Linked DNA regions of Anolis sagrei. The protein of the gene in region 1 interacts with the protein of each later gene in a pairwise test. Links are inferred from orthologs where the notes say so. Each region holds a gene or a part of one and is shown in the gene's direction. Other genes may lie near its edges.

Region 1 (7,619 bases):
CCAAGGAGCGAAAGAAGGAAAGAAAGAAAGAGGTAGAGAAGGAAGAAAGGAGAGAAAGGGGGAGAAAAAGGGGGAAGGAATAGTATTTCATAATACTCCAGATATCTACCTCTACTTTGAAAAGATTTACTATAGGCCACAGTAACGCGTGGCAGGGTACAGCTAGTAGATTATGTATATATGTGTCTGTATCTTTTATAAGGAATTAGTTTAGCTTCCAGTTTATTCTGTTATATGATGCATATCTGAAAAGTGTGTTGCAAACATGAAATGTTTGGAAAGCTCTGTTCTGCGGCACCTAGTATCCCATGCCAATCCAAATTGTCATCAAAGGGCTTTTCTAGCAGGTCAAGCTTCTATCTTTCATTTAATTTTGAATGCAGAGGGCCCTCACTATACAAGGTCACGTGGCCGGCTGCATGGAGCGCCATTATTCTGGGCTATAGGGCTGTGTGGAAGGGCCTTATGAGTCGTTTGTAAGTCGGATGTTTGGAATCGGGTACTGCCTGTATATGGCTATTTCTCGATTCTGAAAAACAAGAAGAGAAAAAAAATCCCAGGCCCCTTCCGCACAGCTGTATAAAATCCTACATTATCTGCTTTGAACAGGGCTATATGGCAGTGTGGACTCAGATAACTCATTTCAAAGCAGACAATGTAACTTAAAAAATGCTTGTATTTCATTTTGTCTCAAGAACCAGGTTTCCCTCACTTCATGTGTTTCACCTCTGTTCTGAACTATGAGTCATTTGTAAGTTGGATGTTTGTAACTCAGGGGCTACCTATAATTTGACAGTTTTAGCATATATATCAGGCTTGTGCAAACTTTGGCCCTCCAGGTGTTTTGGACTTCAACTCCCACAATTCCTAATAGCCTACTAATGGGGTTGTTGTGTGTTTTCCTTCTGGCTGTTAGGAAATGCGGAAGTTGAAGTCCAAACACCTGGAGGTCCGAAGTTTGCCCATGCTTTATATATATATATATATATATATATATATATATATATATATACACACACACACACACACACACACACACACACACATATACAAGCCGTCCCCTGACATGTGTTGCTGTGGCCCAGTCTGTGTATATGTGTTTTGTGCGTGTACATAAGTGTTTATGTGTGTGTATAAATTTATGCACATATGTGTGTTTGCGTATATATGTGTGTGTGTATATTTATGCATTCATATGTTTATATGTGTATATTCATATTGGCATATTGTGTATATATGTGTGCTTGTCTATATGCATATTTGTGTGTATATATGTATGTATGTAGGTGTGTGCATGTGTATATGTATATATATATGTGTAAATGTGTATATATTTGTGTATTTGTGTGTTTGCATCTGTATATGCATATTGTGTACATGTGTGTGCTTGCCTATATGCATATTTGTGTGTATATATGTGTGTAAGTATGTGCATATGTATCGATGTGCATGTGTATATGTATATATGTGTGTATATGTGTATATTTGTGTGTGCTTGTGCATATATATACTCATATGTATATGAGTATATATGTATATATGGTGTATTTTTGGGGGTTTTAAGTTGGGTGCTTTTTTCTTGTGTGTGTGTGTTTTTAGGGGTGATGGACACTCGTTGTACTGTTAGGTGTATTGTGTCAAAATTTTGTGTCAATTTCACCAGTGGTTTCAGTGTTTCTCCCACAAACGAACATTATATTTATGGATATGGATTTAGACACACACACACAAGCTGTTGAGAGCGAGATAAAGCACAACTTCAGAGTCCATGTTGCTGTGGTCACACCAAAAAAGTTCCAGAGTCCAGTCAGCAATAAACACCAAGCAGAAGTCTAGCCCAAGGTCAACAAAGCCAACAGTCCAAAAAAGCAGTCAAAAGTTAAAGCCAGAATCCAAAACAATCCAAGGTACAATCCCAGATTCAACAAAATGGATAATCTTTAAGCTATGGCCACCCAGCTGGCAATTCTTCTTCTCTCCATGTGGTCCAAGGAAGCCAAAGAGTAGAACATCCCAGTGTTGTGATATCCAGATTCTATGCAATCTGGTTTTACAGAATTGTACTTCTCCCCATGTCGTCCAAGGAAGCCAAAAAGTTGAACATCCCATTGTTGTGATATCCAGATTCTATGAAATCTGGTTTTAAAGAACTGTTTTCATTACAAAAAATATCTGGAGTTGTGCCTTTAATTGTTGTCTAACAAGAAGCAACACCTGATGAACTTCCTTCTTCTACACAGCCATAACAAGTCCAATTTACAATCTGACAGGACAAAGGAGTTTCAAGTGTGAGGCTTTACTCTGCCTTGATGACCAGCCACTGACAGAAGTGACAGAGAGTTTCATCTATGCTGATGATTGTGCCATACCGCTCAAGCAGGGAACTTTGAGATGGTAGAACAGAAGCTCTCTGAAGCGCTAGGCACTCTTACTGCCTATTACAGGGAAAACCAGCTGACCCCCAACCCATCTAAAACACAGACATGTGCTTTTCACCTTAAGAACAGACAAGCATTCCAAGCTCTGAGGATGACCTGGGAAGGAATCCCACTGGAGCATTGCAACACACCCATATACCTGGGAGTCACTCTGGACCGTGCTCTGACCTACAAGAAGCACTGCTTGAACATCAAGCAAAAAGTGGCGCTAGAAAAATTATCATACGAAAGCTGACTGGCACAACCTGGGGATCACAACCAGACACAGTGAAGACATCCGCCCTTGCGCTGTGCTACTCTGCTGCTGAGTATGCATGCCCAGTGTGGAACACATCTCACCACACTAAAACAGTGGATGTAGCTCTTAATGAGACATGCTGCATTATCACAGGGTGTCTGCGCCCTACACCACTGGAGAAATTACACTGTTTAGCTGGTATTGCACCACCTGACATCCGCTGGGAGGTATCAGCCAATAGTGAAAGGACCAAGGCAGAGACATCTCCAGCCCATCCCTTGTTTGGGCATTAACGACTTAAATCAATACATAGTTTTCTAGGATCTACAAAGACACTCGCTGGAACACCTCAGCAAGCGAGAGTCCAAACGTGGCAGGCTCAAACCCAGAACCTCAATCAATGGCTGATACCAAACGAGAGAGACTCCCCTGGGCACACAGAAGACTGGGCGACTTGAAGGCGCTGAACAGACACCACGAGATGCAGAGCCAACCTCAAGAAATGGGGCTACAAAGTGGAATCCTCGACATGTGAGTGTGGAGAAGAGCAAACCACTGACCACCTGCTGCAATGCAACCTGAGCCCTGCCACATGCACAATGGAGGACCTTCTTGCGGCAACACCAGAGGCACTCCGAGTGGCCAGATACTGGTCAAAGGACATTGAATCAACTACGAAGCTTGCAAACTTTGTGTTTTGTTTGTTTGTAAAAAAATGCAATGTCACAGACCAGCTGCTGCAATGCAAGCTGAGCCCTGCCACATGCACAATGGAGGACCTCCTTGCAGCAACATCAGAGGCACTCCAAGTGGCCAGACACTGGTCAAAGGACATTTAATCAATTACCAAACTTGTAAACTTTGTGTTCTGTTTGTTTGTTAAAAAATGCAATGTCACAGACCACCTGCTGCAATGCAAGCTGAGCCCTGCCACATGCACAATGGAGGACCTCCTTGCAGCAACACCAGAAGCACTCCAAGTGGCCAGACACTGGTCAAAGGACATTTAATCAATTACCAAACTTGCAAACTTTGTGTTCTGTTTGTTTGTTAAAAAATGCAATATCACAGACTACCTGCTGCAATGCAACCTGAGCCCTGCCACATGCACAATGGAGGACCTCCTTGCAGCAACACCAGAAGCACTCCAAGTGGCCAGACACTGGTCAAAGGACATTTAATCAATTACCAAACTTGCAAACTTTGTGTTCTGTTTGTTTGTTAAAAAATGCAATGTCACAGACCACCTGCTGCAATGCAAGCTGAGCCCTGCCACATGCACAATGGAGGACCTCCTTGCAGCAACACCAGAAGCACTCCAAGTGGCCAGACACTGGTCAAAGGACATTTAATCAATTACCAAACTTGCAAACTTTGTGTTTTGTTTGTTTGTAAAAAAAATGCAATGTCACAGACCACCTGCTGCAATGCAAGCTGAGCCCTGCCACATGCACAATGGAGGACCTCCTTGCAGCAACACCAGAGGCACTCCAAGTGGCCAGCTACTGGTCAAAGGACATTTAATCCACTACCAAGCTTGCAAACTTTGTGTTCTGTTTGTTTGTTTTGTTAAAAAAATGCAATGCAACTGTTTGGTCTGCACGATAAATAAACACTCTGCCTTGAGCAGCATAGCCTAAGCCAGTTGGGGGCGCGCGTGCGCACTACGACAGTCTCGCGCAGGCTGTGTGTGTACTAAATAACGGCCGGCGCTCGCGCCGCTCCCTTTGTCTTCGCCCCGAGGACCAGCCAATCAGGTGAGAGCAAACACTTCCTCGCGCTCCCTCCCTTTGCCCAATAGTTCACAAAGGTGGGCGGGGCCTGTTCTTTGGAACGGTCGGAGAGGGGAAAAAAAGGGGGAGGAGCGTTCCTCTAAGGATGGGCGTGGCCTGGAGGGCGGCAGTCTATATAAAGCGAGGCGCGGCGGCGTGGCCAGCCTCAGTCGCGGCTGGGGAAGCGAAGAGAGAGGTTGTGCTCCTTTTTTTCTCTGCTTGTTGAGAGTTTGGGCGTGTTTGTGACTGTTTGTGAGGGGTTTTCCCGGGTTTTATGCTCCTCCTTTTGGCTCTGAAATTTTAATTTCCACTCTCCCAACGAGGATTAACGAATACCCGAGGGTGCGAGGCTTCCAGGCCGGAGGGCAGGCCATGGAGGAAGAGAAGTACCTGCCAGAGCTGCTGGCCGAGAAGGACTCCCTGGACCCTTCCTTCACCCACGCCTTGAGGCTGGTCAACCAAGGTGGGTTTCAGCCCCTGGAGGGGGACGCCTTTGTCTTGCTATATCTGCTGCCTCTGCCTCTTTGGGTTCTGTGTTTTGTTTCCTGGATCCCTGTGTTGATTAGAAGTGGGTAGGTCTCAAGCAAAGGAAGCAAATTTCAGTCCCAATTCAGTCAATTATTAGGACAATGTTTCTCAACCTTCCTAATACAATTCCTTATGTTGTGGGGACCGCCAACCATAAAATTATTTTCGTTGCTACTTCATAACTGTAATTTTGCTACTGTTATGGAGCTGTGGTTAGACCACACCTGAAATATTGTGTCCAATTGTGGGGCCCCCAATTCAAGAGAGATGTTGACAAGCTGGAATGTGTCCAGAGGAGGGTGACTAAAATGATCAAGGGTCTGGAGAACAAGCCCTATGAGGAGCGGCTTAAGGAGCTGGGCATGTTTAGCCTGAAGAAGAGAAGGCTGAGAGGAGATATGATAGCCATGTATAAATATGTGAGAGGAAGCCACAGGGAGGAGGAGGGAGCAAGCTTGTTTTCTGCTTCCCTGGAGACTAGGACCCAGTGGCTTCAAACTACAAGAAAGGAGATTCCATCTGAACATAAGGAAGACTTTCCTGACTGAGCCGTTCAACAGTGGAACTCTCTGCCCCGGAGTGTGGTGGAGGCTCCTTCTTTGGAAGCTTTTAAGCAGAGGCTGGATGGTGATTTGAATGCAAGATTCCTGCTTCTTGGCAGGGGGTTGGACTGGATGGCCCAGGAGGTCTCTTCCAACTCCTTGGTTCTATGACTATGATAATGTAAATATCAGATAATCAAATATATTTTCATTCACTGGATCCAATTTGGCACAAATCTCCAATATGCCCACATTTGAATACTGATGAGGTGAGGTGGGGTGGGATTCATTCTTTTCATTTCAGAGTAGTAGTTGCTAGGATTTATAGTTCACCTACAATGAAAGAGCATTGTGAACTCCACCAAGGTTGGAATTGAAGCAAACTTGCCACACAGAACTCCCATGACTAACAGGAAATACGGGGAAGGTTTGGTGGGCATTGGCCTTGAGTTTGAGAGTTGTAGTTCACCTATACTTGGCACACAGAACTCCCATGACTAACAGGAAATACTGGAAAGGTTTGGTGGGCATTGGCCTTGAGTTTGAGAGTTGTAGTTCACCTATACTTGACACACAGAACTCCCATGACTAACAGGAAATACTGGAAGGGTTTGGTGGGCATTGGCCTTGAGTTTGGGAGTTGTAGTTCACCTATACTTGGCACACAGAACTCCCATGACTAACAGGAAATACTGGAAGGGTTTGGTGGGCATTGGCCTTGAGTTTGGGAGTTGTAGTTCTTCTGTACTTGCCACACAGAACTCCCATGACTAACAGGAAATATTGGAAGGGTTTAGTGGGCATTGGCCTTGAGTTTGGGAGTTGTAGTTCACCTATACTTGGCACACAGAACTCCCATGATTAACAGGAAATACTGGAAAGGTTTGGTGGGCAATGACCTTCAGTTTGGGAGTTGTAGTTCACCAACATCCAGAGAGCACTATGGACTCAAACAATGTTTGATCTGGACCAAACCTGGCATGAATACTCAACATGTCCAAATGTGAAAACTGGTGGAGTTTCGGGGAAATAGACCTTGACATTTGGGAGTTTCTTGGATTTATAGTTAACTTACAATACTCAGTATGTCCAAATGTGAAACATAGAATTTATTTATTTATTTCACTTTTACCCTGCCCTTCTCAACCCCCGAGGGGAGACTCAGGGCGGCTTAGAATCAAAGAGTTGGAAGAGACCTCAGTACAACCCCCTGCCAAAAATCAGGAATATTGCATTCAAATCACCCCTGACAGATGGCCATCCAGCCTCTGTTTAAAAGCTTCCAAAGAGGAGCCTCCACCGCACTTCGATGCAGAGAGTTCCACTGCTGAATGGCTCTCACAGTCAGGAAGTTCTTCCTCATGTTCGGATAGAATCTCCTTTCTTGTAATTTGAAGCCATTGTTCTGCGTCCTAGTCTCCAGGGAAGCAGAAAACAAGCTTGCTCCCTCCTCCCTGTGGCTTCCTCTCACGTATTTATACATGGCTATCATATCTCCTCAGCCTTCTCTTCTTCAGGCTAAACATGCCCAGCTCCTTAAGCTGCTCCTCATAGGGCTTGTTTTACAGACCCTTGATCATTTTAGTCACCCTCCTCTGGACACATTCCAGCTTGTCAATATCTCACTGGTGAACACAGGTGGTGTTTGGGGAAAACAGTTCTGGACACAATCAAAGAGCATTCTGAACCCCACCAACGATAGAATTGGGTCAAACTTCCCACACAGAACCCCCATGACCAATAGAAAATACTGTTTTCTGATGGTCTTTGGCAACCCCTCTGACATTCCCTCGCACCCCTCCCCCCTTCCAGGGGTCCCAAACCCCATGTTGAAAAACACTGTGTAAAGGTTATAGGCCAGCATAAAAAAGAAAGACAGGCAGAGAAAACAATACAAAAACAGTAGGGTATGTAAAGCAAAGTGGTATAAAACAAAGGGTGTGTAAACAAAGTGGTATTAAACAATTCATATTTAATATTAGGTTTCTTTAGATCTTAAGAAAAAGGCAACGTTCCGTTCTATTCAGCCATCTGTTAGGGTCAGCATAAAAGGAGACAACAAAGTGGCGCATAACCATAGGTTAGGTAAAGCAAGGTAATA
Region 2 (6,967 bases), on another chromosome or scaffold:
GAGAACTCTATCACCAGTCTTAACTGGAAATGGAGATGGACAGTCGGATGGCAGCAAGTTAAGATGGTGGGATGGTCAATGCTAGTCCTTCCAGGAGTGGAGATGGAAGACGCGATGACAGTGGAGATGGAAGACGCGATGACAGGCGTCTCAGATGGTGAGATGGTGAGTCAGACCCCACTGGAGGAGGCCTGGGCTGCTGGCTACTCACAAGGAGTCCTGGGAGCAGGCTGGAGATCTTTATTGCCCCTTACAGCAGCACAGCAGACTCCCACAGCAGACTCCCACTCTTTCTCCCACTCTGGGCATTCTATAGATATACAAACTCCACTTGCCTAGTTTCCAACAAGCCTCACAATCTCTGAGGATGCCTGCCATAGATGTGGGTGAAATGTCAGGAGGGAATGCTTATGGAACATGGCCATACAGCCCTGAAAACTCACAGCAACCCAGAACTCTTGTCTGTTTGAGGCAAGTCTAAACATTGCAATTGATCACATTGATTTGCACTGAATAGCCTGACAGCTTCAAAGCCTGACTGCTTCCTGCCTGGGGGAATTTATTGATTTTTGAACATTTGTATCCAGTCCTTCTCACCCCCGAGGAGGGACTCAACAAGTACTCATTTGAGTGCTAACCACAATAATAAATTTCATTAAAATTTGTGTCCGCATCTCCTACAACAAACCTGCACAACCTCTTCAATCCTCTGAGGAGGCCTTTCTCTTGCCCTTTCCTCTATCACAAGCTCGACTTGTGGGAACGAGGGAGAGGGCCTTCTCTGCTGTGGCCCCCCACTTTTGGAACTCGCTACCTAGGGAGATTAGGCAAGCCCCCACCCTAGCTGCTTTTAAGAAAGATCTAAAAACCTGGTTCTTCCGATGTGCCTTTGGAGAGTGACCACTCAATCCCATCTGGTTATTTTGAACTGTAGCTGCCCTCAGAATAAAACACCTTCCCATGCCTCCTACAAAGGCCAAATCCCACTACTTCTCCCTGTTGGACTCCTCTCTTATCCCTTTTATCCCTATCTCACTCAGGGTTTTAACCTGTTCATATTTTACCTCATACATTTGGCCCTCCCTTTGTATCTGATTTTATTATGCTGTTTTATAATGTTGATTTTGTTATTTCATATTTTGTTGATGTATTTTTGTTATTGTGCAATCAATTATGTTGTATTATTTTGGGCTTGGCCTCATGTTAGCCGCCCTGAGTCCCCACTGGGGAAATGGTGGCGGGTTATCAATAAAGTTTATTATTATTTATTATTATTATTCAAACAATCATTAAAAATCATTTGTTGGGAAGTGATTAGCTGGCCCTGATGGTTTCTTGTCTGGAATTCCCCTGTATTTGAATGTGTCTCTTTATTTACTGTCCTGATTTGAATTTTTTTTAAAAAAAAAATACTGGTAGCCAGACAAGAAAAAATCAGGGCCAGCTGAGCAGCTAAGGGGAAAAGGAAAGGGCCCGAAGCTGGGTTGTTGTGTGTTTTTTGGGCTGTATGGCCATGTTCTAGAAGCATTCTCTCTTGACATTTCGCCTGCATCTATGGCAAACATCCTCAGAGGATGTGAGGTCTGTTGGAAACTAGGAAAATGGGGTTTATATATCTATGGAATGTCCAGAGTGGGAGAAAGAACTCTTGTCTGTTGGAGCTTGGTGTGAATGTTGCAATTGGCTACCTTGATTAGCATTGAATAGCCTTGCAGCTTCAAAACTTGGCTGCTTCCTGCCTGGGGGAAGAGAAGAGTTCATTATCCCACCCTGGACCTTCCACAGCCTGAAAAGGGATCTACCTGTGGGCGGCTCCTTCCCTCCCTGTCTTTGAGTGGCAGGTGGGCCACCGGGCTCTGTTTCCCCGGTGGCCCCTCAGAAAGCTAGAGAACAGGCAGGCATGTAGCGGGGGGGGGGGGGGGGCTTGAGGGGCTTCAGCCCCTCCTGAAATTTTCATGGTGGTTCGCGAAAAGGCCTTACTGGTGCATTATTTAAACTGTTATGTTTATTCATATCATGATCTGATCACCTTACTCAATATATCCCATATGCATGGGGGTATTGGGGTAATGATACAAAAGGTTTGCTAGGACAGACCCAGTTTCACTCAGACTCAGCCCCCCCCCCAAATCGAAATCCTGGCTACGGGCCTGAGAACAGGCATGGGCAAACTTGGGCCCTCCCTCTAGGTGTTTTGGACTTCAACTCCTACCATTCCTAACAGCCTCAGGCCCCTTCCTTTCCCCAATTTTCCTAGTTCCAACAGACCTCACAACCTTTGAGGATGCTTGCCATAGATGCAGGCGAAACATCAGGCGGGAATGCTTCTAGAACATGGCCATACAGCCCGAAAACCCTACAACAACCCAGTGTTTCCAGCCATGAAAGCCTTCGACAATGTATGGCCAGGTTCTTGTGGTTTTTTTCGGGCTATAGGGCCATATTCTAGAGGCATTTCTCCTGACGTTTCGCCTGCATCTATGGCAAGCATCCTCAGAGGTAGTGAGGTCTGTTGGAATTAGGACAGTGGGTTGATATATCTGTGGAATGGCTGGGGTGGGGCAAAGAGCTCTTCCCTGCTGGAGCTAGGTGTGAATATTTCAACTGACCACCTTCATTAGCATTTGAAGTCCTGGCTGAGCCGGGGAAAAGATGTGCCTGGTTGTTTCCTCTCTGTTGTTTTGCTGTCGTAATTTTAGAGGGTTTTTTAAAATACTGGTAGCCAGATTTTGTTCATTTTCATGGTCTCTTCCTTTCTGTTGAAATTGTCCACATGCTTGTGGATTTCAACGTATGGCCATGTTCTAGAAGCATTCTCTCCTGACGTTTCGCCTGCATCCGTGGCAAGCATCCTCAGAGATTGCGAGGCCTGAGGCTGTTAGGAATGGTGGGAGTTGAAGTCCAAAACACCTGGAGGGCCCATGTTAGCCTGGTGTAGAGAGATGCAAGAGTGGACCTGGATCCGGGGGAGCGGGGGATACAACAAAGGGAGGGGATCGTGGTGGAGGAGGAGGAGAAGGGGTGGGGAGGAGGGAGCGCAAGAAACTTCTCCTTCCCCCTCCCACGCGGGAAAGGGAGCCGGTGATGGAGCCGCGTGGCGGGTGCGCGAGCACGAGGGCAGGCACTCAGGGCTGGGGCATCAGCAGTAGCAGCAGCCCCTCCCCCTGCAGCATGCAAAGCGGAGAGAGGGCGATTGAGGAGGGCTCCCGAGGGGAGGGGAGGGGGCGGGGCAGCGGGTGGAGGGTGTCCGTGCCTCGATGCCTCCTCCTCCTCCTCCTCCTCCTCCTCCTCTTGCTGGATGCCTCCTGGCTGGCTCGACTGGCCTGCGCCGGGACCTGGCTGCTGTGGCGGCGATTGGCTGGCGGGGGCGGGCCAGGCGCGCGGCGATTGGGCGGCGCGGCCGAGCGGACGGCGGTGGGGAGGCCCCTGATTGGCTGCCGACGAGGAAGCAGGAAGGGAGGACGGACCAAGAGCCGAGCAGGGGCGCGGGGCCGCCGCTTCTGCTGCTGCTCCTGCTGCTGCTGCTACCGCCGCTTTCGGGGACTTGGTTGCTCCTCGTCATCGTCGGTGGGAGCTCATCGTGGGAGAGGAGAGCGCCATCCGGATCCGTCCTCCGGAGTCTAAGCCGTGTCTCTCCTCTGCTGCCGCCCCCTCCGGCCTTCGCCGCGCGGGCCCCAGAAGGGGGCGCGCCTCAGTCCCCATCCCGGTGGCGACGACGCGGAGGGAGGGCCGAGGAGAAGGAGGAGAAGGAGCAGCGGCGGCGCTGACGCAGCAGCGTGGATCCCGGGATTCAGGCGCCCCGCCGCGGCGTCCCTGCCGCCGGATTGCAGCCCGGCCGGGGCCTCCTGGCTCTGCCCTGCGTGGGGCCCGCACAGCCCCCTGGAAGGAGGAGCAGGAGGAGGAGGAGAGGAGCGGGAGCAGGCACCCTCGGTAAGCAGGCGGTGGGGCTCCACCCTGGGCGTCGAGGAAGTTGCGGGAAGGAATCAAGGAAGGCAAGCGATGGGAACAGGTGCCTTCGCCGCCACTAGCCAAGGAGGATGTATACGGGAGGGAGGGTGGGTGGGTGGGTGGGCTTGCATGCGGCGGGGAGGTTCACCCACCCAGCCAGCCAGCCAGGCACCCGCGCGGGGATGTCGCGCGTGAAGGAGCGGAGGGGGCGCGGCTCTCGCGGGACGCCTTTCCTTCCTTCCGAGCTCCCATCGGGTGGGTGGCCTCCTCGGGAACTTTCCACCTCGATCCGGCTGGGGCTGGTATTGGTATGGAAGAGCGAGGCGTGGGGGCTTCCTTCCTTCCTTGGCCGCGTGTCCCCGCCGAGGAAAGAGAAGGACCCTCCCCTCCCTCTCCTTCCCTCCCCTCCCTCTCCTTCCCGGTTGCCTTTCCCTTTCCCTGGCGTCGTCGGGGGTTTCCCCCTCGTCGTAGTCGGCCATGATCCCTCTCTTTCCTCCCTTCTGCCTTTCCTTCCATCCCTTTTTCTCTCCCCCCTTTTCCCTGGGCTGAAGAAGGGCCCTCGCGTGGGGCGGCGGCGTGGGCGGCTCCTTCCTTCCCTGTCTTTCCTTGGCAGGTGGGCCACCGGGCTCTGTCTCCCGTGGCCCCTTAGAAAGCCGGAGAATCAGGTATGGGCAAACTTGGGCCTCCCCTCTAGGTGTTTTGGACTTAAGCTTAAGCGGCGGAGGGGGAAAAGGAAGGGGCCTGAGGCTGTTAGGAATGGTGGGAGTTGAAGTCCAAAACACCTGCAGGGCCCAAGTTTCCTCCCTGAGACTGTCCATCTGGTGCAAAACAAGATACGGCCCACATTGCACATGGCTCCTGTTTTGAAGGGGAAGAGCCCAGTCCCCTTCCATGTCCAGGGCCCCTCGGCCTTCCTGGGATTAGTTCTCGGTCTGGAGTTATGTAACGACTAGGAAAACCATTAACTTTGGCAGCAGCAGCAGCTCCCAAACCCCACCTTAGAAACCCACTGGCAAAGTGTTGTGGAAGGCTTTCATGGCTGGGTTGCTGTGTGTTTTCCATGTTCCAGAAGCATTATCTCCTGATGTTTCGCCTGCATCTGTGGCAGGCATCTTCAGAGGTTGTGAGGTCTGTTGGAAACTAGGAAAATTGGGTTTTATATATCTGTGGAAAGTCCAGGGTGGGAGGAAGAACTCTGGCAAAAGCTCCAAGCAGAAGCCAGGAGCCCAAGAGAAGGGTGGTTTTGTGTTTCCCTTCCAGGCTGCTTCCTTCCTTCTCTTCCCTTCCTTTTCCTTCTTCCCGCCCTCCCTTCTTTCCTTCCTTTTTTCCATGTTTTCTTCCTTCTTTTTTCCACCCTTCCTTCCTTCTTTCCTTCCTTCCTGCCTTCCTTCTCTCTTTCTTTCATTCTTTCTTTCCATCTGTCCTTCTTTCCTTCCATCCTTTCATCTTGATTTCTTGCTTTCTTTCCTTTCTTCTTTCCTTCCATCTTCCCCATCCCTTCCTTCCTTCCTCCCTTCTTTCTTTCTTTCTTTCTTTCCTTCCTTCCTTCCTTCCTTCCTTCCTTCCTCCCTTCCTCCCATCTTTCCTTCCTTCTTTATTTCCTTCCTTCTTTCCTTCCATCCTTTCTTCTTGATTTTTTCTTTCCTTCCTTCCTTCCTTCTTTCCTTCCATCTTCCCCATCCCTCCCTCCCTCCCTTCTTTCCTTCCTCCCTCCTTTCCTTCTTTCCTCCCTCCCTTCTTTCTTTCTTTCTTTCTTTCTTTCCTTCTTTCCTTCCATCCTTCTTTCCTTCCTTCCTTCCTTCCTTCCTTCTTTCCTTCCTTCCATCCCTTCCTTCCTTCCTTCCTTCCTTCCTTCCTTCCTTCCTTCCTCCTTTCCTTCCTTCTTTGTTTCTTATCTACCTTCCTTCCTTCTTTCCTTCCAACCTTCCTCCATCCCTTCTTTCCTTCCTAAGACACCCCTTTCCCCTTTCTGGTCCCCTTCCCCACTTCGGAATACGCTGCCTCCTCATTTTTGTACAACCCAGACACGGAGACAGATGCCCAGGGCCCTCAAGGACAAAAGACCCCCTTCAGAAACACTTTCCGATCTCCTGGTTAGTAGTCTCTTGGAAGCAAGGAAGGGGTTGTAAACAGTCCCTAGAAAAAGGAGGGTCTGAGCCTGGAAAACTTTTTCAAAAACACAATTCCTCATAGAGGTTATTCCTCTTTCCTGTGTTTTCTTGGAAAAGACCTGCTGGGAAACGAATCCTGGTGGATTGTCTGTAGAGAGAACAAGGCTTCCGGGCATGTTAATGGCTCAATATAATTGTTGACATGACAGAAAGCCACAGAATCATGCTCGTATTTAGAAATCGTTATGAAGATTCACATAGATAGGTATGAGCAAACTTGGGCCCTCCCTCTGGGTGTTTTGAACTTCAACTCCCATCATTCCTAACAGCCTTAGGTGTCTTCCTTTCCCCCCTCCGCCGCTTAAGCGGTGGAGGGGGGAAAGGAAGACACCTGAGGCTGTTAGGAATGGTGGGAGTTGAAGTCCAAAACACCCGGAGGGAGGGCCCAAGTTTGCTCTCTGAGACTGTCCAGCTGGTGCAGAAGATATCGGCCCTGTTGCATATGGCTACTGTTTTGAAGGGGAAGAGTCCAGTCCCCTCCACCAGTCCCCTCCACATCCAGGGCAAGTTTCATGAGAGGGTGCTTTGAATGAAAATCGACCTTGCTAGAAGCGCTTCCCCCCAAAATATCCTTTCCATCTGGGTAATAGAGGTGAGACTTCAAACACACAGGCAGCACATTTCAGAATGTGTTGAGGACTCGCCATGTAATTTGGCCGGAACGTATCTCTTTCCAGGTGACAAACCTGCATCCAGTGGGAGGGTTGAAATACGGCTGACAGCTGTATTCAACAAGGTGATGCGCTGTCATTTTCAAAACCAGGTGTCAAATTACACGTCTTGTCTTTTCACACGTGCTCGCCGAGCTCAGGAAGCCACGCACGTGAAACTTATTTGGGGAGGTTGTG
Region 3 (7,943 bases), about 230 Mb from region 1:
AACCACTGCTGTAGAACTTAGAAAACTATTATTTGATTTAAGTCGTTGGCGTGCTGGCTGATATCCGAACAGGGGATGAGCTGGAGATGTCTCTGCCTTGGTCCTTTCACTATTGGCTGCTACTTCCCGGCGGATGTCAGGTGGTGCAATACCGGCTAAGCAGTGTAATTTCTCCAGTGGTGTAGGGCGCAGACACCCCGTGATAATGCGGCATGTCTCATTAAGAACCACATCTACTGTTTTAGCGTGGTGAGATGTGTTCCACACTGGGCATGCGTACTCAGCAGCAGAGTAGCATAGTGCAAGGGCAGATGTCTTCACTGTGTCTGGTTGTGATCCCCAGGTTATGCTGTGAGCTTTCACATGATATTGTTTCCAACACCCACTTTTTGCTTGATATTCAGGCCGTGCTTTGTGTAGGTCAGAGAATGGTCCAGGGTAACTCCCAGGTATTTGGATGTGCTGCAATGCTCCAGTGGGATTCCTTCCCAGGTAATCCTCAGAGCTCTGTAAAAATGGGGAAAATGGTTTTCCTCTTTCAGCCAACCCTCCACCCCCATAAAATGGACTATTCTTCTCTCTTAGCGCCCACTTGTGGCCTCCCTCCCGATAATAATACAGTACGCATTTTACTTTTAATAAACCTCTCCCCAGCATCTCTCTTTCTCTTTGCCTTTTATTATTATTATTACATTTTACTGAACCAACCATTCTATTGCAGTTTATTAACCATGGCATTTTACTTAACAACCATATCGTTATTAACAACCTTATTATTAACCTTGGCATTTTATTTACCTTTTGTTGTTGTTGTGTTTTGCATTGGATGAACTTTTCCACTTGGTTTTTATTTTGTATATTACTAACCTTGGCATTTTATTTACCTTTTGTTCTTGTTGTTTTGTTTTACATTGGATGAACCTTTGCACTTTGTTTTTATTTTGCATATTATTAATCTTAGCATTTAATTACCATTTGTTGTTGTTGTGTTTTGCATTGGATGAACCTTTGCATTTTGTTTTATTGTGTATATTATTAACCTTGGCATTTTATTTACCTTTTGTTGTTGTGTTTTGCATTGGATGAACCTTTGTACTTTGTTTTTATTTTGCATATTATTAACCTTGGCATTTTATTTACCTTTTGTTGTTGTTGTTGTTGTTGTGTTTTGCATTGGATGAATCTTTGCACTTTTTATTTTGCATATTATTAACCTTGGCATTTTATTTACCCTTTGTTGTTGTTGTTGTTGTTTTTGTTGTTGTGTTTTGCATTGGATGAACCTTTGTACTTTGTTTTTATTTTGCATATTATTAACCTTGGCATTTTATTTACCTTTTGTTGTTGTTGTTGTTGTTGTGTTTTGCATTGGATGAATCTTTGCACTTTTTTATTTTGCATATTATTAACCTTGGCATTTTATTTACCCTTTGTTGTTGTTGTTGTTGTTGTTGTTGTGTTTTGCATTGGATGAACCTTTGTACTTTGTTTTTATTTTGCATATTATTAACCTTGGCATTTTATTTACCTTTTGTTGTTGTTGTTGTGTTTGGCATTGGATGAATCTTTGCACTTTTTTTATTTTGCATATTATTAACCTTGGCATTTTATTTACCCTTTGTTGTTGTTGTTGTTGTTGTTGTTGTTGTTGTGTTTTGCATTGGATGAACCTTTGTACTTTGTTTTTATTTTGCATATTATTAACCTTGGCATTTTATTTACCTTTTGTTGTTGTTGTTGTTGTGTTTTGCATTGGATGAATCTTTGCACTTTTTTATTTTGCATATTATTAACCTTGGCATTTTATTTACCCTTTGTTGTTGTTGTTGTTGTTGTTGTTGTTGTGTTTTGCATTGGATGAACCTTTGTACTTTGTTTTTATTTTGCATATTATTAACCTTGGCATTTTATTTACCCTTTGTTGTTGTTGTTGTTGTTGTTGTTGTTGTGTTTTGCATTGGATGAACCTTTGTACTTTGTTTTTATTTTGCATATTATTAACCTTGGCATTTTATTTACCTTTTGTTGTTGTTGTTGTTGTGTTTTGCATTGGATGAATCTTTGCACTTTTTTTATTTTGCATATTATTAACCTTGGCATTTTATTTACCCTTTGTTGTTGTTGTTGTTGTTGTTGTTGTTGTGTTTTGCATTGGATGAACCTTTGTACTTTGTTTTTATTTTGCATATTATTAACCTTGGCATTTTATTTACCCTTTGTTGTTGTTGCTGTTGTTGTTGTGTTTTGCATTGGATGAACCTTTGCACTTTGTTTTATTTTGTGTATTATTAACCTTGGCATTTTGTTTACCTTTTGCTGTTGTTGTGTTTTGCGTTGGATGAACCTTTGCACTTTGTTTTATTTTGCATATTATTAATCTTGGCATTTTATTTACCTTTTGTTGTTGTTGTGTTTTGGATTTCATGAACCTTTGCACTTTGTTTTTATTTTGTATTTTATTAACTTTGGCATTTTATTTACCTTTTGTTGTTGTGTTTTGCATTTGGTGAACCTTTGCACTTTGTTTTATTTTGCATACTATTAACCTTGGCATTTTATTTACCTTTTCATGAAATGCAAAACACAACAAAAGGTAAATAAAATGCCAAGGTTAATAGTATGCAAAATAAAACAAAGTGCAAAGGTTCATCAAATGCAAAACACAACAACAACAACAACAACAACAGGTAAATAATAACCTTGGTATTTGGATTTCATGAACCTTTGCACTTTGTTTTTATTTTGTATTTTATTAACCATGGCATTTTATTTAGTAAGCACTCCTTTTTTGCATTTTACTTAAAACCTATTATTGCATGTAATAGACCTTTGCATTTTGTTTTGCTTTTATTTTGCATTTTATTAACCATGGCATTTTATTTTGCAAGCACTCTTTTTTTTGCATTGCATTTTACTTAAAACCTATTTTTACATTTGATTGACCTTTTCATTTTGTTTTGCTTTGCTTTTATTTTGCATTTTATTAACCATAGCATTTTATTTAGTAAGCACTCCTTTTTTGCATTGCATTTTACTTAAAACCTATTTTTGCATGTGATGGACCTTTGCATTTTGTTTCCTTCCTCCTGCTGCTTTTATTTTGCATTTTATTAACCATGGCATTTTATTTAGTAAGCACTCTTATTTTTTGCATTGCATTTTACTTAAAACCTATTTTTACATTTGATTGACCTTTTCATTTTGTTTTGCTTTGCTTTTATTTTGCATTGTATTAACCACGGCATTTTATTTAGCAAGCACACTTTTTTTTTGCATTGCATTTTATTTAAAAACCTATTTTTGCATGTGATGAACCTTTGCATTTTGTTTTGTTTTGCTTTTATTTTGCATCTTATTAATCATAGCATTGCATTTTGCATTGCCTTTTACTTAAAACCTATTTTTGCATGTGATGGACCTTTGCATTTTGTTTTGTTTTGCTTTTATTTTGCATTTTATTAACCATAGCATTGTATTTTTCATTGCATTTTACTTAAAAACCTATTTTTGCATGTAATGGACCTTTGCATTTTGTTTTGTTTTGCTTTTATTTTGCGTTTTATTAACCATAGCATTGCATTTTGCATTGCCTTTTACTTAAAACCTATTTTTGCATGTGATGGACCTTTGCATTTTGTTTTGTTTTGCTTTTATTTTGCATTTTATTAACCATAGCATTGTATTTTTCATTGCATTTTACTTAAAAACCTATTTTTGCATGTAATGGACCTTTGCATTTTGTTTTGTTTTGCTTTTATTTTGCGTTTTATTAACCATAGCATTGCATTTTGCATTGCCTTTTACTTAAAACCTATTTTTGCATGTGATGGACCTTTGCATTTTGTTTTGTTTTGCTTTTATTTTGCATTTTATTAACCATAGCATTGTATTTTTCATTGCATTTTACTTAAAAACCTATTTTTGCATGTAATGGACCTTTGCATTTTGTTTTGTTTTGCTTTTATTTTGCGTTTTATTAACCATAGCATTGCATTTTGCATTGCCTTTTACTTAAAACCTATTTTTGCATGTGATGGACCTTTGCATTTTGTTTTGTTTTGCTTTTATTTTGCATTTTATTAACCATAGCATTGTATTTTTCATTGCATTTTACTTAAAAACCTATTTTTGCATGTAATGGACCTTTGCATTTTGTTTTGTTTTGCTTTTATTTTGCGTTTTATTAACCATAGCATTGCATTTTGCATTGCCTTTTACTTAAAACCTATTTTTGCATGTGATGGACCTTTGCATTTTGTTTTGTTTTGCTTTTATTTTGCATTTTATTAACCATAGCATTGTATTTTTCATTGCATTTTACTTAAAAACCTATTTTTGCATGTAATGGACCTTTGCATTTTGTTTTGTTTTGCTTTTATTTTGCGTTTTATTAACCATAGCATTGCATTTTGCATTGCCTTTTACTTAAAACCTATTTTTGCATGTGATGGACCTTTGCATTTTGTTTTGTTTTGCTTTTATTTTGCATTTTATTAACCATAGCATTGTATTTTTCATTGCATTTTACTTAAAAACCTATTTTTGCATGTAATGGACCTTTGCATTTTGTTTTGTTTTGCTTTTATTTTGCGTTTTATTAACCATAGCATTGCATTTTGCATTGCCTTTTACTTAAAACCTATTTTTGCATGTGATGGACCTTTGCATTTTGTTTTGCTTTGCTTTTATTTTGCATTATATTAATCATAGCCTTTTATTTTGCAACCCCCCCCCCTTTTTTTTTTGCATTGCATTTTACTTAAAAACCTATTTTTGCATTTGATGGACCTTTGCATTTTGTTTTGTTTTATGTGGATTTTGCATTTGCTTGACCAGTGAAATGCAATCCTCCCGGAACCAAAGTGCTGGGCTGTTTGTTTCCTTGCACAAGGGGGTGGGCCTCCCTGGGAAGCCCTATTTGCACGTGACTGTTTCCTCTCCCCTTCCTGGGCTACTTTCACTTTCAGGCACCATCGCAGCAGCTTGCATTGCAAGCAGCCCATCCTTCCCTCCTTTGCTGCTGTTGCATTCCTTCCTCCTGCTGCATTGTTTTCACCCTTTTGCACGCTTTGCCTGCTGACGCGTGTCTTATCCTTTCCCACGTGACGCGTGTCAGGCGGCTGGGGCGGCGGCAGCAGCGCGATGGCCGGCCTGGAGCTGCTCTTCTCCTCGGTGTCGCCGGACCTTTCCTGCCCGCAGGACGCCTTGGTCTGCTACTTGCACTGGAAGCTCATCAGCCATGGCTACCGCTGCCTGGGGACAGGAGACCAGGTGAGAATTTGGGGGGGGGGGGGGGGACACTCCAAATTCTCCTTGCAAAGCACCTCCAAAAAGTGGAGTGCACCCCACCCACGCCCAGAAGCAACCCAACAGAAGGAAAGCATGCATGTAAACAGAGCATCCCTTGACCAGAATGCTTAAGACAAAGAGTAGAGTGCCATGACTCACTGTTATGCATTGTTATGTTTGATTGTTTATGTTTTGCTTCATTGCAAAGTTGTTTTAATTGTTTACTAGCCATCCCCTGCCACACATTGCTGTGGCCCAGTCTGTGTATATGTGTTTTGCGTACATATATGTGTTTTGTGCATATATACAAATATATAATGTATTTTTTACTTTTTGGCTTTTTAAGTCCCTTCTGCTGTGTTTTTCAGTGTTTTTAATGAGTAATGGTCACTCATTGGCCTGAGAGGTGCCTTGTGTCCAAATTTGGTGTCAGTTTGCCCAGTGGTTTTTGAGTTAGGTGAGTCCCACAAACGAACACTACATTAGGTTCTTGTGGGTTTTTCCGGGCTATATGGCCATGTTCTAGAGGCATTTTCTCCTGACGTTTCGCCTGCATCTATGGCAAGCATCCTCAGAGGTAGTGAGGATGCTTGCCATAGATGCAGGCAAAACATCAGGAGAAAACGCCTCTGGAACATGGCCATATAGCCCGGAAAAACCTACAACAACCCAGTGATTCCAGCCATGAAAGCCTTCGACAGAACATTACATTTTTATTTTTATAGACTAGAAATCCCAAAAGTCAATGTCTGTTTCCCCCAAATTCCATCTGTGTTCATATTTGGGTATATGGAGTATTTCTGCCAAGTTTGGTCCAGATCCATCATTGTTTGAGTCCACAGTGCTCTCTGGATGTAGGTGAACTGCAACTCCCAAACTCAAGGTCAATGACCACCAAACCCTTTTAGTGTTTTCTGTTGGTCATGGGAGTTCTGTGTGCCAGGTTTGGCTCAATTCCATCATTGGTGGAGTTCAGAATACGCTTTGATTGTAGGTGAACTATAAATCACTGCAACAACAACTCCCAAATGTCAAGGTGTATTTTCCCCAAACTCCACCAGTGTTCACATTTGGGCATATTGAGTATTCGTGTAGAGTTTGGTCCAGATCTATCATTGTTTGAGTGCTCTCTGGATGTAGGTGAACTACAACTCCCAAACTCAAGGTCAATGCCCACCAAGCCTTTCTAGTGTTTTCTGTTGGTCATGGGAGCCCTGTGTTCCACGTTTGGTTCAATTCCATCTTTGGTGGGGTTCAGAATGCTCTTTGATTGAAGGTGAACTATAAATCCCAGCAACTATAACTCCCAAATGACAAAATCAATTTTTTTGAGTGATGGGCACTCGCTGACCTAGTAGGTGTATTGTGTCCAAATTTGGTGTCAGTTCGTCCATTGGTTTTTGAGTTATGTTAACCCCACAAATGAACATTACATTTTTATTTAGATAGATTTATTTATTGATATTTATGGTATCAGGAGCTAACCAATGTCTTTGAAAAAACACAAAGTTTAAAAAACTGGGCATCATACTGAATGGCCACTTGGAGTGCCTCTGGTGTCGCGTTGAGAAGGTCCTCCATTGTGCATGTGGCAGGGCTCAGGCTGCATTGTAATAGGTGGTCTGTGATTTGCTCTCCTCCACACTCGCATGTCGGAGACTCCACTTTGTGCCCCATTTCTTGATATTGGCTCTGCATCTCGTGGTGCCAGAGCGCAGTCTATTCAGCGCCTTCCAAGTCGCCCAGTCTTCTGTGTGCCCATTCAGCGCCTTCCAAGTCGCCTAGTTTTTGGTGTGCCCAGGGGAGAGTCTCTCATTTGGTATCAGCCATTCATTGAGGTTCTGGGTTTGAGCCTGCCACTTTTGGACTCTTGCTTGCTGAGGTGTTCCTGCAAGTGTCTCTCTAGATCTTAGAAAACTATTTATTGATTTAAGGTGTTGGCTGATATCCAAACAGACGATGGGGCTGAAGACGTCACTGCCTTGGCTTTCGTTATTGGCTGATACATCCCGGTGGATGTCAGGTGGTGCAATACTGGCTAAACATTGTAATTTCTCCAGTGGTGTGGGGTGCAGACACCCCATGATAATGTGGCTTGTCTCATTCAGAGCCACATGATGAGATGTGTTCCACTCTCGGAAGCAGAGTAGCAAAGCGCAAGGGCAGATGTCTTCACCGTGTCTGGTTGTGGTCCCCAGGTTGTGCCAGTCAGCTTTCATATTATATGTATGGTTGGGGACGTGAGAGAAGCCTCCCCACAGGGTTACAACACATTCAGGCATCCCCTGGACAACTGCTGACACTGGGCATGCGTACTTGACAGCAAAGTGCAAGGGCAGATGTCTTCACTGTGTCTAGTTGTGATCCCCAGGTTGTGCCAGCTTTCATATGATACGTATGGTTGGGGACGTGAGAGAAGCCTCCCCACAGGGTTACCACACATCCAGGCATCCCCTGAACAATGTCTTTGTAGATGGCTGATTCTCTCAGTTGCGATATGTATGGTGGATCTGTATTGTTTTGAAATGTTGTGATCCGCTTTGGTCCCACTTGACATGATGCAGCCCAGCAAAAGTGTCATATCTCTCTCTCTCTCATCGCCCAGCCAGGTGCCAACGAGCGGAAGTCGGAGATGTTGCCTCCCGGGTGGAACG
Region 4 (7,550 bases), on another chromosome or scaffold:
ACACCATCTGCTCTGTTTCATTCTGCCATTTGTGAAGCAGCAAGTGGAGATGGTTAGTTTCCATCACTGCCAGCTGTACTAAAGTTGACAACCAGCTGTCAGCCACAGTTCCTCCAGTGAGGACACCCCAGGCACTAAGTTGTCAGGTGGAACAGAGTCAGCTATTAACCAAGTACAAAATGCGTATTTTTAAAGGGAAGTAGCCTTTGCATACCTAATTAAATTCTATTTAGTTATGTATTTAAATAGTTCGCATTTGGGAGATTTTTAAACAGCGCTGCAGATTCATGAGGAAATAGAATGGAAGGGATTTTTACATCTGAAAACATGTCAAAAGTGCCATAGGCCATAAAAAGACATTCACCATTTATTCGTAGGACCATTAAGGGAGGAGAAATGGAGAAAAAATGTGTCTGATTCACATTCTAGCATGAAGTGGCCTAATTTGCATTTCTTGAAATAATCCATGAAATAGCACACAATGACTGTTCAGTTTTCACATTTCTTCAAAAGTTGTGATGCAGTTCCATGTTCAAAGCAATGCTTGCACAATGCTTACATAAATAGAAATAACTAGCAAACACAATTGTGAAAATCAGAGAAATTTGCTTGCAGATCCCAAGAGGAAGCATACAAGGTAATGTATACAATTTTTTTTCAATTCCACACAAAATCCTGGGAGAAATAATATACAAAATTAGGCTAGGAGAAAACTGCAAAAAAAGAATGAAAATTAATAGGAGATATGCATAAAATGCATTGAAATAGTCATAGGTACAAAATTTTCCACATACGTGTGTGCATTTATGAGCTAACTTTTACATGCACACAGTTCTGGTATGTAACTTGAATGACATGAGCACGTGCTTGAAAACATTACACTGTGTAACACCATTTTTGTTCCTAGGTTATAAATGTCATTTTCTAATTGGTTTTATCATAAAAACACGGGAACAGTTAATTAAACTACAAAAATGTTCGTTTTTTTGGGGGGGTGGATATCCTGCAGTACAATTTGCTATAGGTTTTCAATAAATATCTCCTTGAGTCTCAACCAATTCAACATAGTTTGTGGCAGCCACAAAAATGAAATTTCTGGAGTTGAACAGCTACTTTCAAAATAAGCAGCGCACAATTAAACGGGAAATAATACTTTCAAACCAGGAACAGAAATTTTTTCAAATTTTGTTACATGGTGTTCTGGAAAACAGGCGGAGTTAGTCCATTCTCAATTGCCAAAGGGTGAACTATTTGTGTGCATGCCAATATTGTGTACTGGATAGACTAGACTTTCCGGTGTTGAAAGAACGGCTGTTGGAATAGCTTGGACTGACTTGAATACATTTAAAAATGCATAATATTTTAAAATGCACAGCAGTAGCACCCCTTTAAAGACACCATAACCTGACTGAACGAGAGCTATATATCATAGAATGAGTTTGAAGCATCTCTTTTACATCACTGAATTGAAATAAACGTAGCCAGCAAATGACTTTCACAAAAATAGACTTGTTAGTTCATCACTGCCCTTTCATTACGACCATTTGTTATCACTTACATCACTGATCATGGCCACTATCACTATGCAAGATAATTTTGAGGCCACTTTCCATTGTCACTGCATATCTGCACAACAGTTTTGCTACAGCTTATTGTAGCTCTGTGCTGCAGAACCACAGTTTGAAACACTTGGGACACAAGCTTTTGTACAGTTCCTATCCATGGCACACAGGAAACCACAGATTTTACAGTTATGCAAATTATAATGACCTGTCGACCTGCTCACCAAAAATAGTATAGGAACTTGGAGACTGCACATTATAATACCACATCTCTCAAGCATCTGGTCTTGGCCACAGCCTTATAGATATAGTTGGGAACAGGGACCTGTGCAAAGAGAAAAAATCCTAAAATTAATATGGGGAATTTTTGGCTCTCCAGATGCTGTTTTACTCAAACAACGATCATCCCCTATCAGCTGGATAATATTCTGACATAGTAAAGATATAGTCCAACATCATTTGGTGGGTCTCTCTCCCACCAATGTGCTAGAAGATACTGTACATTTGCTCTTTATCACCCCAGGGATCTGCCAGGTATAAGTGCAACCACTGATGGAACAGTAGTTTTAGAAATAGCAGGCTGTTTGGCTGTGTGGAAGGACCCAACGCCATCATATTCCACAATATAGATAGAGGTCAACAGCCGAAGCCCATGATATAATTTGTTCCACCTTGTTCAAGCTACAAACCTGACATTTCAGTATACAACTCAGGGTGCTTCCAGACAGCACCAAATTGCGGGTTTTAGTCAAGGCAAAAAACCCCAGGACATGAGAAGTGGTCTACATACAGACCTGTTGGTCCTGGGATTTCTGTTTCCGTCATCCACACTTGCTGCTTTGTTCTGGGATTTTGCAGCCCCTAAGATGTGAATATGCAAATTTGTGAATATGCGAATCATTGTATAAGTTCCATTCCTGGCTTATAGAGGCTGTGTAGCCATCTGTGCAGACAAGTTTGGCCGTGTACTTGTGCCTGGAAACTACAGGGTGCTGTTCTTGGGACATACATGTCTGTTCCTCATTGCTGTTATTGTGAAAAGATGTACAATATTGACTACAGGGTGACAACTTTGTTTTGACAAGAAATACTTTGCCAACCACATGTTTAATGAAGTTTCTGGCACACAAACAAAGTTTATGGAGTAGGATCATTACTTTTGAAGGAAGTACTATACAATCAAACAGGAACACACACTTTCAAGCCAGGAACAGAACTTAGTCATTATTACCACTTTTCAGAGGCTGCCTGGCCATCTGTGCAGACAGGTTTTGTGGTGTACTTGTGGCATGGAAGAACAGGGTCATGTTCCTGGGTTATACATGTCTGTTCCTCATTGCTTTTATCATAAAAACACGAGAAAAGTTGATTGCAAATGCACGGGAAAACCTTTGTTTGTGTTTCACAAACTTAATTAAACGTGTGGAAGACAAAGTTTCTCTTTCTAGGATAACGTTTTCACCTTCTAGTCAACTGTTGCCATGTTTTAAGATACAACCAGTCAGAAACCGACATGTATAACCCAGGAACAAAGCAACAGAAAAAAAATCCTGTATTCAAATATCTGCATTTTCCAGCCAGAACTGGGATATTCCCGCAACTGAAAATCTCGCATTTTTTGTCCTTTGTAGCAATTGCTCCCACATTTTCAGGGGATGTTTTTTGGCCACCCTCCATTTTGAAGCAGGAGCTACTGGGATAAAGGTACTGCCGCTGTTTTCCCCAGCCTCCTTGAAGAAAGAAGGCTGGAGGGAAAGTGTTAGCTAGATGGTGAATTCAGATCAAGATTAAAGCTTTCAAGCACTCAGTCTGAGAGCACACTGCACTGACACTATAATGCAGTTTGAAGCTGACTTGAGGCCATGGTGGCCACAAAATGCACACCGCCAATGCACACTGTAATGCACATCAAGGATCATGCAGCACTTCTTTGAATGTCCCAGGAAAGCCTGAGGTCAGCCAAAAAATGTGCTGCAGCTGATCCCCATGTATTCCAGATTCCGGCCAAAATAACCTCTGCAAAATGTGAAGTGCATTGTAGTCACCCGCCACTGTGTAAATGCAATAAAAGATCACAAATGGAGGTCCAAGGGCATGGCTGGGCAACACGAGACTAATTGAATACCTCCACTCCTATCTTTCACTTTCCTTTTTTCCCCATCACATTTGCCTCTGATACATATATCAAATTACTTACTACCTGAATTAATTGCTTTTCCCCCCAATATGTTTTTATTGCAGACACAGGTAGAATAATATCACAATCCATCACCATTTCAAAATACATATCAAATATTATTTTCTTAGTGTTCTTAACCTTGCCTATTCCACCTTTATCTCCCACTTGTGACTATTGATTTTACACCCCTCGCTGAATTAATTCATAACTATCATGGAAGCAAAACAATGTGGAACTTCTATCAAAGTTTAAACTTGACCTATATGTCAAGACCCAATTATAATGTATTTGGGCAGAAGCAAAATATTATTAGCCACAATTTCCCTGTAAGTACATATAAATGCGAGCAGCTCTCCCACAACTTTAACAATGTTATACAGTATCCATTATTTAGTACAATGCTGCACTAAAGTATTCATTTGTTTGTTTGTTTAGAGCACTTATACCATTCTCTTCAGCCAAAAAGGCTCACAGCGCAGCTCATAAATATTTATCTGACTGTGTCCTACCCTCAGGCTTTAACAACCAAGTCTTGGATAAAACAGAGAAAGGCAGAGAGAGAAAGTGTAGGACTGGGGAAGGAGATAAAGAACTCTGTATTTGCCTAGGGGCAGATTAATTTGGGGACAGTCCACTGGCTATGAACTCTATCCATTGAATTTGTACAAACACAATTAATGTGGACACTGCAACTATCCAGAAAGAGCGAATTTGGAGGTGAAGTGTGAGCGTGGCATGTCTTTCTCATTTGGAGTTGCTTCTATAAGGAAGTTCTCAGCTCTGTTTCCTCTCTCTCTCTCTCCTCTCTGCACCATTAAAACAGGAAGCTGAGTGAGCGGCAGCTGCTGAACACTACACACAGACAGCTCTGAGATCTCAACATAATTGCTGGCTGGCTGATTATTGTTATCATAAATTAAAAGTTGCTTGCATTGGGGAGGCAGAGTGTTTTGCCTATGAGGCATGGATCAGTGCTGGTACCATGGGACCATCACACGTTCAAGAGCTGAAGACCTCCTCTCTAAAGTGGGAAAGGATGGGAGCTTCCTTGTGCGGGCCAGTGAGTCCATCTCTTCAGCATATGCCCTCTGCCTGCTGTAAGTATGCCTCTTATCTTCTACTGTACTCAGCTTCATCTCTGGTGCTATTTCAGCTCCACAGGGAGTGCAAGCCACACATATTACAATGCTATCCACTCTTTCTCGACACAGTAGGTGATCCCATCGAGGAGCAGTTAAGTTCGGTAAAAGCAGTACATGAACCTGGAGACATGATAGACATTACAGAAAAAGTCACTTGAAAAGAGTAGCTAGTCATTAGCAAGCACAAAAGGGGATGGAAGTTTTACAAAGTAAGTTCTCCAACAATGTCATGAGATATCACCTTGTAAAACATTATTAATAATAATAATAATAATAATAATAATAATGCACCCATCTCTTTGCTGAATCATTGAGGCTTGGAACTCACCAGCTTTCTTTATGCATATATGTTTGCTATATCAGAAGAGGTTTTATTAAAACATGCTGATTTTCTGAATAATCCTCAGGAATGGCCTTAATTTTACTTGAGGTGCTGTTATAATGTACTACTGGGAATATATGAAAGGTCACACAAATATGCTTTACTTCAGAAATACCCCTTTACTGGAGTTTGATAATTTTCCTTGTTTGGACTGTATCACTTAGAGCAGGGGTATATCCAGTCTTTTGACTTCCCTGGGCCATACTGGAAGAAGAAGAATTGTCATGGGCCACACATAAAATACATTAACATTAACGATAGCTGATGAATAAAACAAAAGAAGTCAGTGCATAATTTCTGTCATATCCCTCATCACAGATAATTGCAGATAATACCCAGATATTTGTGGACCTAACATATTCTGAATATTTCATTCCACTTTGTTGTTATGTACAAGTTCATGCTCGAGAACTATATAATTAAGTTACAAAAAATGCAAAAGAAATCTCAAGTTTTAAGTAAGTCTACGATTTTGCGTTTGGCAACATTCACCGCCGTCCTGGGACACATGTGGCTCACGGGTTGCGATTTGGACAAACCTGTCTTAGGCCCCTTCCACACAGCCCTATATCCCAGAATATCAAGGAAGAAAATCGCATAATATCCGCTTTGAACTGGGTTATCTGAATCCACATTCAGATAATGTGGGATTTTCTGTCTTGATATTCTAGGGGCTTTTCCAGACAGCCCTATATCCCAGAATATCAAGGCAGAAAATCCCACATTATCTGATTGTGGGCTCAGATAACCCAGTGGAAGAGCCCTCAGTGTCTCTCATCTTGCATACTTATGGGCCATGCTTACTGGGACATCCAAAGTATAATCCAAAAATGTAAATTTTCCAAGCTCAGTCCCATATTTCCCATGCTTACTGGGACATCCAAAGTATAATCCAAAAATGCAAATTTTCCAAGCTCAGTCCCATATTTCCTGTGAGAAATCAACTTTGTAGACTCCAAAGAGTCAGGGCCCTTCTATACAGACATATAATCCAGAATATCATGGCAGATAATCCATAATATTTGCTTTGGACTGGATTATCTGAGTGCACACTGCCATATAATCCAGTTCAATGTGGATTTTATACATCTGTGTGGAAGGGACCTCAGAGACTCAGGCATGTGAACTAGTTTTAACTAAGAAGAGCTGAAGGGAACTCCCAAGGGTGGAGTGTATGGGCAGGACCCTCCAAGGTCAAAGATGTGGGGTTTTAGTAGTGAAATCCAGTTAAAAATTGATTAACTAAATTTCTGAATGAAGCCTGGATCCAGTTCTTAGTTCTAACCAAAATATACCCACATATGACAGTCAACAATCACTCTTGTATAAGTTGACCTAGCAAAGAGCAGGTTTTGGGGGCCAAACGATAGATTCACATATGATCCGAGCTGAGGATAAGTCAAGCGGAGAGGAGAAAGTGCCAGCAGCAGCAGCAGCTCAGGCTCTCCATCCTTGGCTTCTGCCGTTTTTCCACCCAGGCATTCAAAAAGACCAGAAGTGGGATTAAGGTGGAGAAAGTAGTGGTGATTTCTTTTAGATTTTCTTTTAGTGTTTCTTTTAGATTTTCTGAAGATGGACTAAGCTTATGCCTTTTGCCACTCTATTCAGAAAATGGGATGGTTCCTTCTTTATATAAGTGACAGTACTTGCACTAACATGTAGATAAGTCAATCCAGTTATTTGGGTCAAAATGACCCCACAAATGTACCTTTTGAACATGCCTAATGAAGAACTAGAAAGGAAATTCAGGAAAAAATTGTTTTACATGACAGCGGCAGCTCGAATAGTATATGCTGGATATTGAAAAATGTCAGAGATACCTCACAAGAATGGGGAAAATACATGGATAATGGATAAAATAACTGTATTCTTAAGAGAAGCACTATTAGAGAACTTTGTTAATGAATGGCAGCCAATGATTCAACATCTCAATGTAAAATTAAACTAAAAATGTACATGGGGATCCTATAAGACTGCAGACAAGGAGGAAGCGGATATTAATTTAGAGTCTATGATACCTTTATATGTACTATTTAAATAGAAGACTGTGACTCCTTAAATAAAATATATTATTTGAGAAATTATTATGGAACACTAATAGCTGGAAAATATTGCACTGTATGCAACAAATACGCATGTATGTCTATATGAATAAATACATAAATCTTTTTAAAAACCCACAATTTCCAGAAAATAATAATAATAATAATAATAATAATAACTTTATTTATAACCCAGCCTATCTCCCCTAGGGGACTTAGGGCGGTTTCCAAACAAAAGTGGCA

Evidence for each region.
Region 2: the proteins of KHDRBS3 (region 1) and BAHD1 interact in binary tests that used the Homo sapiens proteins (3 or more experiments, as listed by UniProt). The two-hybrid records come from large-scale screens. The link is inferred for Anolis sagrei from reciprocal best matches to the Homo sapiens genes KHDRBS3 and BAHD1.
Region 3: the proteins of KHDRBS3 (region 1) and PSMF1 interact in a two-hybrid assay, tested with the Homo sapiens proteins (2 studies listed by BioGRID and IntAct). The link is inferred for Anolis sagrei from reciprocal best matches to the Homo sapiens genes KHDRBS3 and PSMF1.
Region 4: the proteins of KHDRBS3 (region 1) and INPP5D interact in binary tests that used the Homo sapiens proteins (3 or more experiments, as listed by UniProt). The two-hybrid records come from large-scale screens. The link is inferred for Anolis sagrei from reciprocal best matches to the Homo sapiens genes KHDRBS3 and INPP5D.

Annotation. Positions count from the first base shown.
Region 1 is NC_090024.1:14,032,285-14,039,903, reverse strand, and holds the start of KHDRBS3 (KH domain-containing, RNA-binding, signal transduction-associated protein 3), read left to right. Parts: upstream 1-4,598; 5' UTR 4,599-4,820; coding exon 4,821-4,911; intron 4,912-7,619. UniProt on the Homo sapiens protein: RNA-binding protein that plays a role in the regulation of alternative splicing and influences mRNA splice site selection and exon inclusion. Binds preferentially to the 5'-[AU]UAAA-3' motif in vitro.
Region 2 is NC_090021.1:289,983,401-289,990,367, reverse strand, and holds the start of BAHD1 (bromo adjacent homology domain-containing 1 protein), read left to right. Parts: upstream 1-3,960; 5' UTR 3,961-3,999; coding exon 4,000-4,009; intron 4,010-6,967.
Region 3 is NC_090024.1:241,203,616-241,211,558, forward strand, and holds the start of PSMF1 (proteasome inhibitor PI31 subunit), read left to right. Parts: upstream 1-4,925; 5' UTR 4,926-5,142; coding exon 5,143-5,271; intron 5,272-7,894; coding exon 7,895-7,943. UniProt on the Homo sapiens protein: Plays an important role in control of proteasome function. Inhibits the hydrolysis of protein and peptide substrates by the 20S proteasome. Also inhibits the activation of the proteasome by the proteasome regulatory proteins PA700 and PA28.
Region 4 is NC_090023.1:221,345,580-221,353,129, reverse strand, and holds the start of INPP5D (phosphatidylinositol 3,4,5-trisphosphate 5-phosphatase 1), read left to right. Parts: upstream 1-4,532; 5' UTR 4,533-4,704; coding exon 4,705-4,838; intron 4,839-7,550. UniProt on the Homo sapiens protein: Phosphatidylinositol (PtdIns) phosphatase that specifically hydrolyzes the 5-phosphate of phosphatidylinositol-3,4,5-trisphosphate (PtdIns(3,4,5)P3) to produce PtdIns(3,4)P2, thereby negatively regulating the PI3K (phosphoinositide 3-kinase) pathways.